Schizosaccharomyces pombe: one gene and its partners. The protein of the gene in region 1 purifies or fractionates together with the protein of each later gene. This does not show direct contact. Each region holds a gene or a part of one and is shown on either strand. Other genes may lie near its edges.

Region 1 (3,757 bases):
CTAATTCTTTTAATCTTTACTCGTTTTTCTGGAGTATCTTCCGGTGGGTGTTCTCTTTTAAGAAAATCAATCAGCTCTGAAAGCTCTTTCTCTGAATCGGAAGATTCCAATTCTATTCTCTCTTCCGCTTCAACTTTCCCGTCACCGTTAACTTCTAAATCAACTTCTTCTTTAATGCTTTCTTTTTCCGAAGTAGCCGTTGTTCCTTCTACCGGTTTGTGATGGCCACGTAGCATTTCTTCTGTTGCCGCAGTCGCTTTTTCAACATTTTTTCTGCTTTTGTTCTCTTGAATGTCATTAAGTTCTTTCAGCACTTCAGTTGTGTTTGTTGTAGTGCTTTCGGGAACCGGTGATGATTTGGTCGAAGTAGTGGTACTTGTTAAGTAAGAGATTCTAGGTACGATATTTTCTTCAGGGATTTGATCACGTTGAGGGCGTATGTCATAATTGATTTTCTCAACAACGGCTGCAATCTGTTGTTTCAGAATACTCGAAGATTTAACCTCTGATGAAAACCTTTCCATTCGAGGGTTAATAGGCTTTGATACGTTCTCGACATTATCAGCGCTTTCCAAAGCTAAATTAGGAAAAGACATTGGCGTCCCTTGTGTTGATCTCAATGTTGACGAAGTAAATATATCTGAAACGACCAACACTCTTTGGGCCTTCAAAAAAGCCAAAAGAACTGAAGGATTGGACCATAATTCATAAGCATTTCGAAATGATGGATCATAAAATATTTGACTTCCATACTGAATACAGAGATTAGCCACAGCTTTCCGATCACAGGTATGCTGTGATACACGGATTAACCAAGTAGGGTCAACGGCTAGTAAAGTAGCATGCGTGGTATTTGTTTCAACGTCGGTTTCCAAAGAGTCTAAACATTGTATGACAATTTGATTTAAGAAGTTTTTTTCCTCAACGGGAGTGGCCGTTTTTTTCTGTGCTTCAGTGAGAGTAGCATAGGAGTTAAAGTCCTGCACTTTTGAGGTTGAAATGCTAGCGACTGCAGAGTCTCGAACAGGGACGAACGCTGAGTTGGGAGTTAGCCGACAAATGTTTTCTTCTTTGTTGGCAAACCGCAAACTGCGGTATTGTCGGATTAGTACGGGACGCGCATAGGTTTTTCGACTACTAAGATCCTCTGCATCTATTGGAAGTCTTTCATAAGGAACTGCATTAACGGTTAGAAATTTTAATAAAAAAGAAATAAAACATCAAAAAAGAAATCGATTTTTCAAGTGACATTGTAGTAGATTTGAATTTTCAGTCATCATAATTTTTTTATACAATCATTTGCTTTACAGAAAACTGTACGGTTAAATCTCCCAAACATTTTTCCTAGGGAAATAAAAACCCAAGGGCTAAATGTTGAAATCAACCATTCAATTTCGAACAGAAACAACAAAAAATATAATTAACGACCAACGCCACAGTCTCATCCAACCACTCATGCCAAGTCATGAATAGAGTAAAATTTTATATGTTTCTTTGAGAAAATTGAATTGATATAACCTTAGAGTTATAGGCGTGCAAAATGTTTGATAAAAGATCATCAAAATTGCTATCAAGCATACGACGATCAATTGAAAATTCACAATTTTAGAAAAAGCGATAAAAATAAACTTGATTATATCTAATATTCATTCTTACCTAGAGTTAAAAGGCAGTTGTACAAACGACCTCGATCGTCATATTCAAAAATGTTGCGAACGAATGTATCAAGTTCCTCGGTCTGTAGAGGATGGAATGCACTCTGCAAAAATGAAAAGAACTCATCAATATCCGGTTTTTTTTGACACGATTTCACCATTACTCTGTGAGTTTTGAGTCATATATATTAAGTAGATCAATGTTGTCTTCAGTTATTAAGAAACAAATAGCGAGGGTATTGAAAGGAAATATATACCAAAAAAACAAATATTTTAATGAATTCAGTTAATCATGTGTCAATAAATTGTGAATTTAATCTCTATATTATTAACAAATTGATTCAAGTGCTCCGTCGACTGATTCACTGTCTGCAATACTGTTTGGTAGTTTGCAAGTTTCAACGGTAGTCGATTACTAGAACGTAAACATATACTTTACACAATCACTACATGTTAAAACACTTGAAAACAAAAATTCCAATAAGCTTTAATTTCTATTAAAATTTACATCTCTATTGTTTTGACACCAAAAGCGCTAAGGTGAAAGTATACGATAAAATGTAAGTACGGTACAAAAAATACAAAGCAATTCCTCCCGGCACTTTGAGAAGGAATTCATCCTGACGAGAGTCAGAACAAAAAAAGAGAGAGGATCGTGCTTTATTACCAGACGTTCTGATAATCATTACTGAGACATATCAGTGATGCAATCCTTAGTGCTGCAATAATAATTAAAGAATATTTCAAGGAACTAAAGGAATCTTTCTAACTTTGATTATATAAAATAATTTTAATATTCTAGTGATGAAAAGATTATTCCTCGTTCGTTTTTTGGTTTACTATTTCATTTATCACGAATAGTGCTACAACTAATATGTAAACTTTTACGTTTAATACTGATGAATCATGTGAGATGTCGATTGAAATCTTTAAAAGATATTCTTACGTATAACTAACTCTCAACTTCTTTTATAGCCACGGTTGTAATATTTCTATTACATAGGATTCATCTGCATTAGGACAGTTAATTTCAAACAAATGGATACTTCTGTAGTTTTCTGAAATGTCTTCTCGAATTTTTTACCTCTCATTTAAATGAATTATAAGAAGCTAAAGAACAATATAAATTTTTTGTGTAATTGGCAATACTACATTACAGTTAAGCCCCAAGAAGCGAGTAGAGGCACATAGTAGGGGAACTAAAGGCTCCGAAGGCCTTTACTTCAATCTTTAGGTTCATAAAATATATAACTTAAAATAACATGTCTTTTTAAATGGTAATTTATTGAATAAAACCTATTTTCAATTAACAGTGGGAGATGGGAAATTTAGTGTTTAAACATTGATTAACAATGAACTATACGAGGTAACGCAGAATATGTGTTACCCATTCAGCAAATCTTAATTGTTCATGAATCGTGGATAAGCAAGGAATATACGATCCATACATTTTTAAATACGAAGAGAATGTTAGAGAATTTCATCGATGGAAGGTCATTTTACTACTGAGAGGTAACGGTAGAATACTGCTTTTGCATTTTCCAACTTGACAGGGTTCATTCGTCAAAATCGAATATAAAGCGAAATTACAATAATAGCAAGATAGCCGTGGCATACAATTAGGTGTTATTTTATCAATTGGTGAATCTTAATACCAAATAAGAATAATGTGTATTCTGAAAGAGAGGTGCAGGAAAATGCGTATAAAGCAAGAGGAAACAGCAAAAAAAAATTATATTAATTTTGAACAACATCATTTCATCTCAAGATAAATTTGTTCCATTAGTCAATTTTTAAACATCATCAGTTTTGATAGCCCTACGGTCGGCGAATTTGCAACTTTGCATATGACACTTAAATTTAATATTTGGGATAAAAGTAAATATGGCTTGACCTCAAAAGAATGCATTTGAAAATTAACAAAATTGTATGTTTTCGGGGGGTTTTTTTTTTTTTTTTTTTTTTTTTTAAATGATCAGTGAATTTTATAAGGTATCCGATATGATTTTAACCCAGATTCAAAAACAGGAATATTATTTTATTACATTAAATTTTTGAAGCATCAAAGTCGGATATGTTTATTTTTAAACGAAATTGCTTAA
Region 2 (3,757 bases), on another chromosome or scaffold:
AAGAGCATCGGCATAAGCATATACTCCCATTTTAGCCTTTCCCTTAACTTCTTTAGCAGCAAACTTGTTGCGAAGATGAGCAGCGCAAGCAACTTCAAAAGCACCGGCTCCAACTATCAAGCAGTTGTCTTCTACAGCATTTTTTACCGCACGAAGACCATCCCGAGTTGCATCTTGAATTTGTTGTATTGTATATGTATTGGGTCCATGAATTAAAATAGTCGCACTTTTAGGATCTTTAACGTCCTCAACAAAAGTGTATTTTTCCTCACCTAATGTTCTCTCATAAACCGATCCAGCCCATCCTAAAACCTCAGGATTGAGATCGTCCACACTGTTTTGGGCTACCCCGCCGCATGCTAACTGAAGTCGTTCCATATTACGACGTTTAGCTCGTCTCAGAGCCATAATACCATTCTTAGCTAATACATCAAGAGAAAGGGGGTCAATACCTTTTTGATTGATAATAACAAAATTCGCAGTGGGATCTCTTTCACAAACTTCCTTCTTAAGTTCAACGATTTTGCGCAATTTATTGTCAACAAATTTCCTTTCACTTTCGACTAATCGTTCACGTTGTTCCGAAGTACTATAAAAAAATCCCGAGTTTATCTCACTCTTTTCGTATTCCAAAGAAACATTTAAAATTAATATATAAGCGTTTTTCACTTGCTTGGGCATATCGGGGTGACGAGCTCCATGATCGAGAAGTAAACCGCGAATCAATTGAGTATCTGAAGCAGAGCGATTTTGCATCTTCATAATCTCGACCATATGAAGATCAATAGGTTCATCAGGACGACGAATTGTCAATATAGCATCAACAACAGCAGGTGCAAGTGACTCAACAACTTTTGAGGAAATCTTCGTACTTAAGGAGGTTTTCGCAACGTTTAACAAAACCTCACGGTCGACCTCAAAATCAGTCTTAAAACTATCCAAAAATGTAAGGGCTTCATTCTTTGCTAAATTAAATCCATCGCTAATTAAAGAGGGGTGAAGCCCTTCACGAATATAAAGTTCAGCTTGCTTAAGTAATTCACCAACCAAAAGACATACGGAAGTCGTACCATCTCCTGTGGCATCGTCTTGAGCAGTTGCAGCCTTGGCTATACAAGAGGCAGTTGGATTTTGTATTTGCTACCAATAAAGTTAGTACACAACTCAATACTCATTATTAAAAGCAACATGAGACCTAAAGTAGTCAAAAAAATTCCAAAATTATCAAAAAAGGAAAGAAAGAAAAAAGCATTTGCAGTTAATGTGTTCTTAATCACTTACCATTTCCGTAAGCAGGACTTTACCGTCCTTCGTAAGCTTAATAGCACCAGCGCCATCAACCAACCTAAAATTATGAGTTGCTAAACTATAAAAGTAACTTACATTTTCGTTGTTCCAGTTGGCCCCAAATTGCTTTTCAAGACATCTTGCAAACCGATTGCTGCTGAGATATTAACCTGCCAACGTTAGCGATACTGCTTAAACAAATATTATAGACCAACCTGAAGAGCCTGCGCTCTCTGAATTGATTCCGCTTTGGGATTCAATAAGGACAACATTGAGCTTAAAGTAAATCACCAAATGAACTGTAGTTGGTTAGTTCAGCTACTTATTAGTCGAATATTTACTGAAGTCTTTAAAAATATCGTAAATTTGCGTACTGCGTTAATAATTATCAAATGTAAGCTACGCAGTTTGGTATCTATTTTAACGATACTTAGACTACGGCGAGTTTTCCTTGTGACCTATTGTATTGCAATACGCAGGTAATATAAGTAGCAACTGAGTATAGGTATTATACCATCTAGGTTATATTATTACTTATCACTATTATCGCTTATAAATGAACTGAGGAATGAGGTTCAACGGAATATTTATTTGCAGTATCAATACAATATAAAATATTAATAGGTTATCATTAAGTTCAATCTCGGTATCGTCAAAGATGGCATGATGAATAAATACGACATGTGACATATAGTGATACACAACGTAGTGTAAAATAGCGTTGTTTAGTATTGCTGAATCAAATCGCTTCAAAATTAATTTAATGTAGGTTACTATACCCTATCATAAACTACGTTAAAAAAAATACATCAAACTTTTGAATAGTTCGCACAAATTTTCACCCACAGCACTAACGCCGAGTCAGAATTGCGGCGTGAAGTACTACAAGTGAAGAATGGCTGATTACTTGTTGTATGAGTCTGCGACAGGGTATTCCCTTTTTGATGTCGTTGGAGCTGATCAAATAGCAGCGAAGACAAAGGAAGTGCAGTTGTCTCTTCAGGATATTTCAAAATTTGGTAAAGTGGTGCAGCTTAGAAGTTTTATTCCTTTTAAAAATGCTGCCCATGCTTTGGAAAATGCCAACGACATTTCTGAAGGCGTTTTGAATGATTTTTTGAAAAACTTTTTGGAACTCAATTTGCCGAAAGCCTCAAAGAAGAAAAAGGTGTCTCTGGGAGTCCAAGACAAAAATTTAGCAACGTCTATTAAATCCGAAATTGATGCCATTGAATGTGACACTTCTGAGCTTACCCAGGATCTTCTCCGTGGTATTCGTTTTCATGGTGATAAACTTCTCAAGCAACTATCACCCGGTGATTTCGAAAGGGCTCAGCTTGGTTTAGGACATTCATACTCTCGCGCAAAAGTGAAGTTCAATGTTAACAGAAATGACAACATGATTATCCAAGCTATTGCTATCCTTGATCAACTTGACAAGGACATTAATACTTTCGCTATGCGCATGAAAGAGTGGTATTCTTGGCATTTCCCTGAGCTTTCGAAGATCGTTGGAGACAATTACAAATACGCTGTTATTGTTACACTGGTTGGTGATAAAACCACCATTAACGACGAAATGCTTCATGATCTGGCAGCCGTTGTAGACGATGACAAAGATATTGCTCAAAGTATAATCAACGCTGGTAAAGTGTCTATGGGACAAGATATCTCTGAAATTGACCTCGAGAATATTCTATCTTTTGCTGAACGTGTTATTAAACTTAGTAATTATCGTAAACAGCTACATAACTATTTGGTTCAGAAGATGAATGTTGTTGCTCCCAATCTTGCTGAATTAATTGGTGAGATGGTTGGTGCTCGTTTGATTTCTCATGCCGGAAGTCTAACTAACTTGTCAAAATGCCCGGCTTCTACGGTACAGATTCTAGGTGCTGAAAAGGCTTTGTTCCGTGCTCTGAAAACCCGTGGAAACACGCCTAAATACGGTATTATTTACCATTCTAGTTTTATTGGAAAAGCTGGCGCTAAAAACAAAGGCCGCATCTCTCGTTTCTTGGCTAACAAATGTTCTATTGCTAGCCGTATTGATAACTTTAGCGATGCCCCAACTACGGCATTTGGTCAAGTTCTTCGTCGACAAGTCGAGGAACGTCTCAACTTTTTCGATACCGGTGTCGCCCCTACTCGCAATAGTATTGCAATGGCAGAAGCTTATGAAAAGGCATTATCGAGTGTTAACATAGACGGAGACGAGGAGGTTGACATTGACGTTGAAGAGACTGTTGAAACCATTTCAGAAAAGCCGAGCAAGAAAGAAAAGAAAGACAAGAAGGAGAAGAAAAAGGAGAAGTCTAAGAAAAAGCGTTCTGCCGATGATGCATCAGAAGAAGTCAAGAAAAGTAAGAAGAAAAAGAAGAGCCATTGAGACGTTATTTTTATTAGGATATAACGGGGACCATATTGCTCTTGCATATTTAGAACAACTTGTAATTGAAAAATTTGCTAT
Region 3 (3,727 bases), on another chromosome or scaffold:
CGAGATGGGGTCAATGGTTCCATTGACCTATCCATCTTGTTATTTTTTCTAAACGGAAACCAATATAAAGATTCCTAGTAGCAGAGAATCAGAAGGAAAAGTAATAATCAGAGACAGTTTTTTTGCGACTCGTCGATTGTTGCGTACTTGTGGCACGTATATAAGCGGTGTCCAACGCAACGCGACGCGACGCCCTTTAAAGCGCGAATTCGCGATATAGCGCGTTTTATCAGTTTGCTCATATCCTCGAGTTTATTAATTATATTAACTTTCAAATTTTTTAAATAGCTATCAAAAATGATGCTATAAAAAGTAAACCGCAATTTGCATTATGAAGAGTGATTTACCTGTTATGTTACCGATACACAAACTCGTTCATAACTTTCCTATAGTCATTTTACAAGGTTAAGAAGGCTTTATTCAACGTCCGTTTCAATATCCCTGCAAACGACATTTGAAAATGACAAAATCAATTGGAATAATAAATGGAGTATTTGTGAATTGCACAGGCAGACCTACCGTACACTGAAATATGCTTTTGTTATGTACACAATTACTAAGGCTGATATTTACAGATTAAAAATAAGATACGTTATATCAAGATAACAGTCGGTAGACGATTTAAACGCGCATCTTCTTAATATTAGTTGTGAATAGATACGAGAATGAAATTTTTTTTACACACTAGTATTCGACCATTTTGAAAAATATTTAGTCAATTCATCGCAAAATGTGGATCAAAAAAGGGAATGCAACCACAGAATACACCTTAGACCGCTTTAATGATAAGAATCACTGAATAACCTAGAAACCCGAATGATGCTCAATGGAAAATAAACAAAAAGGGATCTGTAAGATAACACACACCTTTCCACATACGCTTGACAACGAAATTTCATCCAAGACCAATCAAACGCTCCACATCAATAGGCTACTCTCAAGTCACCAGTTCATCTATGCAAGAGCGGGAAAGTCAGTCTCAGAAAGGGTGGGAGGTGCCTGTTGGGTTTTTGAGGCAGTTTCTGAAGGACCACGACGGGGAGCACGGTTAGGACGGCCACCGCGAGCAGGACGAGCAGTAAAAGTTTGCTCGATATCAAGAAGAACCTTCTTTGGCTTGCTTTCCTTGGCAGCAGACTTCTTTTGAGAAGCGCTCTTCTTAAGAGAGGCAAACAATTCTTCGGGGGCACTCTTCTCGACCTTAGTAGCGTTTTCAAGTTTCTCAACAGTACGACCAACAGGCTTTGCGGCGGACTTGCGTTCAGACAGATATTCATCAAGAGTCTTAACATTTTCCTCCTCGGCAGCAGGAGTTTGGGCTCCAGAGGGAGTGTTACCTTCGTTCTCTGCAACATCAGGGTTAGCAGCAGAGTTTACGAGATCACCCCAGCCACGTTCAGTAGCCTTCTTGGTATCACTAAAATAATGGTTAGCAATTATATAATTTGGCATTCACATGTAGAAAAATAAAACACATACACTCTACCAGTTTGGCTATGGCGGTCAAATTCACGACCACGGCGAGCACGAGCATTGCGGCGGTTGGAGGGGGCGCCAGTGGCATCCACAGGATGGGCAGCGTTGTTAGCACGAGCTTCTTTGCCTTCACGAGCAAAGGCTTCGTTTCCTTGAGGAGCTTGACGGCGTCTGCGAGGTTGGTCTGCCTTCTTATTAACGGTACGCTCACGAGGAGTGGGTTGGTTAGGGTCACGCTTCCTAGAGGTGGTGCTTTGAGCGACTAATTCGCGGGGGACAGGAGGGCTGTCGGAGCGCTTTTTGTCACGAGAAGCAGCGGTTTTCTTCTCGGTAGTAGTAGCTGCGGGAGTCTCCTCTCCGAGGAGGTCAAAGAGGTTCTATAATTTGGTTACTACTTGCGAAAACAAAATAAAAATCAGCAGAGTCTGCAGAGCTAACACTCTAAAGAATAATGAACGAAATGTGAATTTATATTTTTTAATACTTGAGCGTCTTTATACAGGCTATACTTCTATAAAGTATTTCATTCGGGTCGCAGTAATGAAACCTTAAACACAGCCCTAAAACATGCTACAAATAATTACCAGTTCGTTCATTTCCTAACCCTTAAAATAATCGTTTAATGATAAAATGTTTAAATCATACCTTGGATGCAACAGACATTTGGAAGCTGGAAAGTTAATTGTGTGTGTTCAGTTACACAACTACAGTCATCCAAAAAGCAGTCACTCAAACTTAGGGTAGGTTGAAACAAATGATGTGCTTTGTCCATCATCTTACGGTAATACCTAAGGCTATCTTAAAATTACAGTTATTCAACACAATGCCTGTCTTTTTTCTATGATATCGGAAGCACTTGGCTTACAATTGTCAATATTCGTTTTATCGAATCATTCATTTCTTTAGCATTAAAATAAGTTTTATTAAGAAATATACTACTGGTAAAAAAAAGCTAGGCAGTCTAAGTAAGAATTAATTACATTATATTTTGAAACAAATAATAAATTAATTCATTCAATGTAAAAAGACTGGTACTAAAATCGTTATAAACTAAATCCAACCAAGTAATAACTTGAGACGATTAACATTAAGCATCAATATCGATTGGGTCATCAGAGGAACCTTTTCCCATTGTTCCATTTGTTTTGCGAGAGGCACGTAGAGATGTACCGGCACCTTCAAACTTAAATAAATTGGGGTCTTTCTTAGAATCTTCTTCAATAGAGGGTGCTTTATAAGGATACCCAAAGAAGTATGTACCCAATGGTAGGATCAACGGAGCAGGACATTCTTGTTTCTCAACATCGAGCAAATTTATTTTAGGCACTTCAGCAACTTCTTTACCATTTAGTTTAGTCCCTGTTCCCTTCATCAAATTCGAATCGCCCTGCCTCACCAGCTCATCGTAACCAATCTTGGTAACCATCGTTCCTTGAACGCCAGCAATATTTTGCTGCTTGTTTTTTTGCAAACTTTCTTCATAACCGATGGGGGGATCAAAATCAACTACCAAATCGGTTTCTACCACTGAGACAACATGGCGGGAGTCATCAGGTTGAACATCTATAACTTTTATTTGATATACCTGGTCGTTATACAAAATCTCAAATATATCAGATTTTGTAAGCGTACTGAAATTCCTAAGCGCATTTTCCAATACCGCTCTGTGGTCCGTGATATCAAGAAAATTCACGCTTTGAGGCTGTAATTTGACATAGCTGCCCTGTGCTATATCAGTATTTATAACTCGAACCAAATCTCCAGGCTCAAGGCTAAGTGTAGTCATCATCTGTGCCCTAGTTAGTACATTTCTGACAGTCTTTAAATTTTTTCATACCCAATAAGGCAGGTAGACACGTCCCTCTTCCGCAATAAATTCTAACACACCCCCATGAGTTTTTTTCTCTGCAGCTTCGTTTTCAAAGTCAAAAAGCATGGGATAACTGACATTCAGGCGTGCTAATAGTTAATTAACAGATTTAAAAGGCTTAATAAATTCTCTTCGCATTACGTACATAGTTTTTCTAAAGCTGAAGGTGGTAATATTACTAGACGTAGTTGTTAATACTAATAATCCCCAATAACAATATAAAAAATATTGAGCAGAGAATGTTAACCATAAGCAAATGCGCAAGCAAGCGCTCAAAGATAAAATCACATGAACTTCATGAGTATATAAAATCAAATCTCCAACAATGTGAAAACTTAAAAGTATTTTCAAACCTTACCTTTCCCACCATAATTGACATTT

What was found.
Region 2: the proteins of nts1 (region 1) and nop56 purify together in Schizosaccharomyces pombe (affinity purification with mass spectrometry, with the first as the bait; one study listed by BioGRID). This does not show direct contact.
Region 3: the proteins of nts1 (region 1) and oga1 purify together in Schizosaccharomyces pombe (affinity purification with mass spectrometry, with the first as the bait; one study listed by BioGRID). This does not show direct contact.

Annotation. Positions count from the first base shown.
Region 1 is NC_003421.2:933,108-936,864, forward strand, and holds the start of nts1 (protein Nts1), read right to left. Parts: upstream 2,049-3,757; 5' UTR 1,817-2,048; coding exon 1,657-1,816; exon of another isoform or gene 1,588-1,656; intron 1,178-1,587; coding exon 1-1,177.
Region 2 is NC_003423.3:940,744-944,500, reverse strand, and holds the start of nop56 (U3 snoRNP protein Nop56), read left to right. Parts: upstream 1-2,127; 5' UTR 2,128-2,182; coding exon 2,183-3,676; 3' UTR 3,677-3,757. Other genes in the region: chaperonin-containing T-complex zeta subunit Cct6, read right to left, coding at 1-1,140, 1,282-1,345, 1,384-1,457, 1,503-1,559. UniProt on the Schizosaccharomyces pombe protein: Required for 60S ribosomal subunit synthesis.
Region 3 is NC_003423.3:4,282,350-4,286,076, reverse strand, and holds oga1 (protein stm1), read right to left. Parts: upstream 2,149-3,727; 5' UTR 2,140-2,148; coding exon 2,122-2,139; intron 1,854-2,121; coding exon 1,480-1,853; intron 1,418-1,479; coding exon 955-1,417; 3' UTR 621-954; downstream 1-620. Other genes in the region: protein nrm1, read right to left, coding at 1-35; Hrd1 ubiquitin ligase complex subunit Ufd1, read right to left, coding at 2,564-3,265, 3,314-3,435, 3,492-3,524, 3,705-3,727. UniProt on the Schizosaccharomyces pombe protein: Ribosome preservation factor that protect a small pool of nontranslating, vacant ribosomes in cells under nutrient starvation conditions.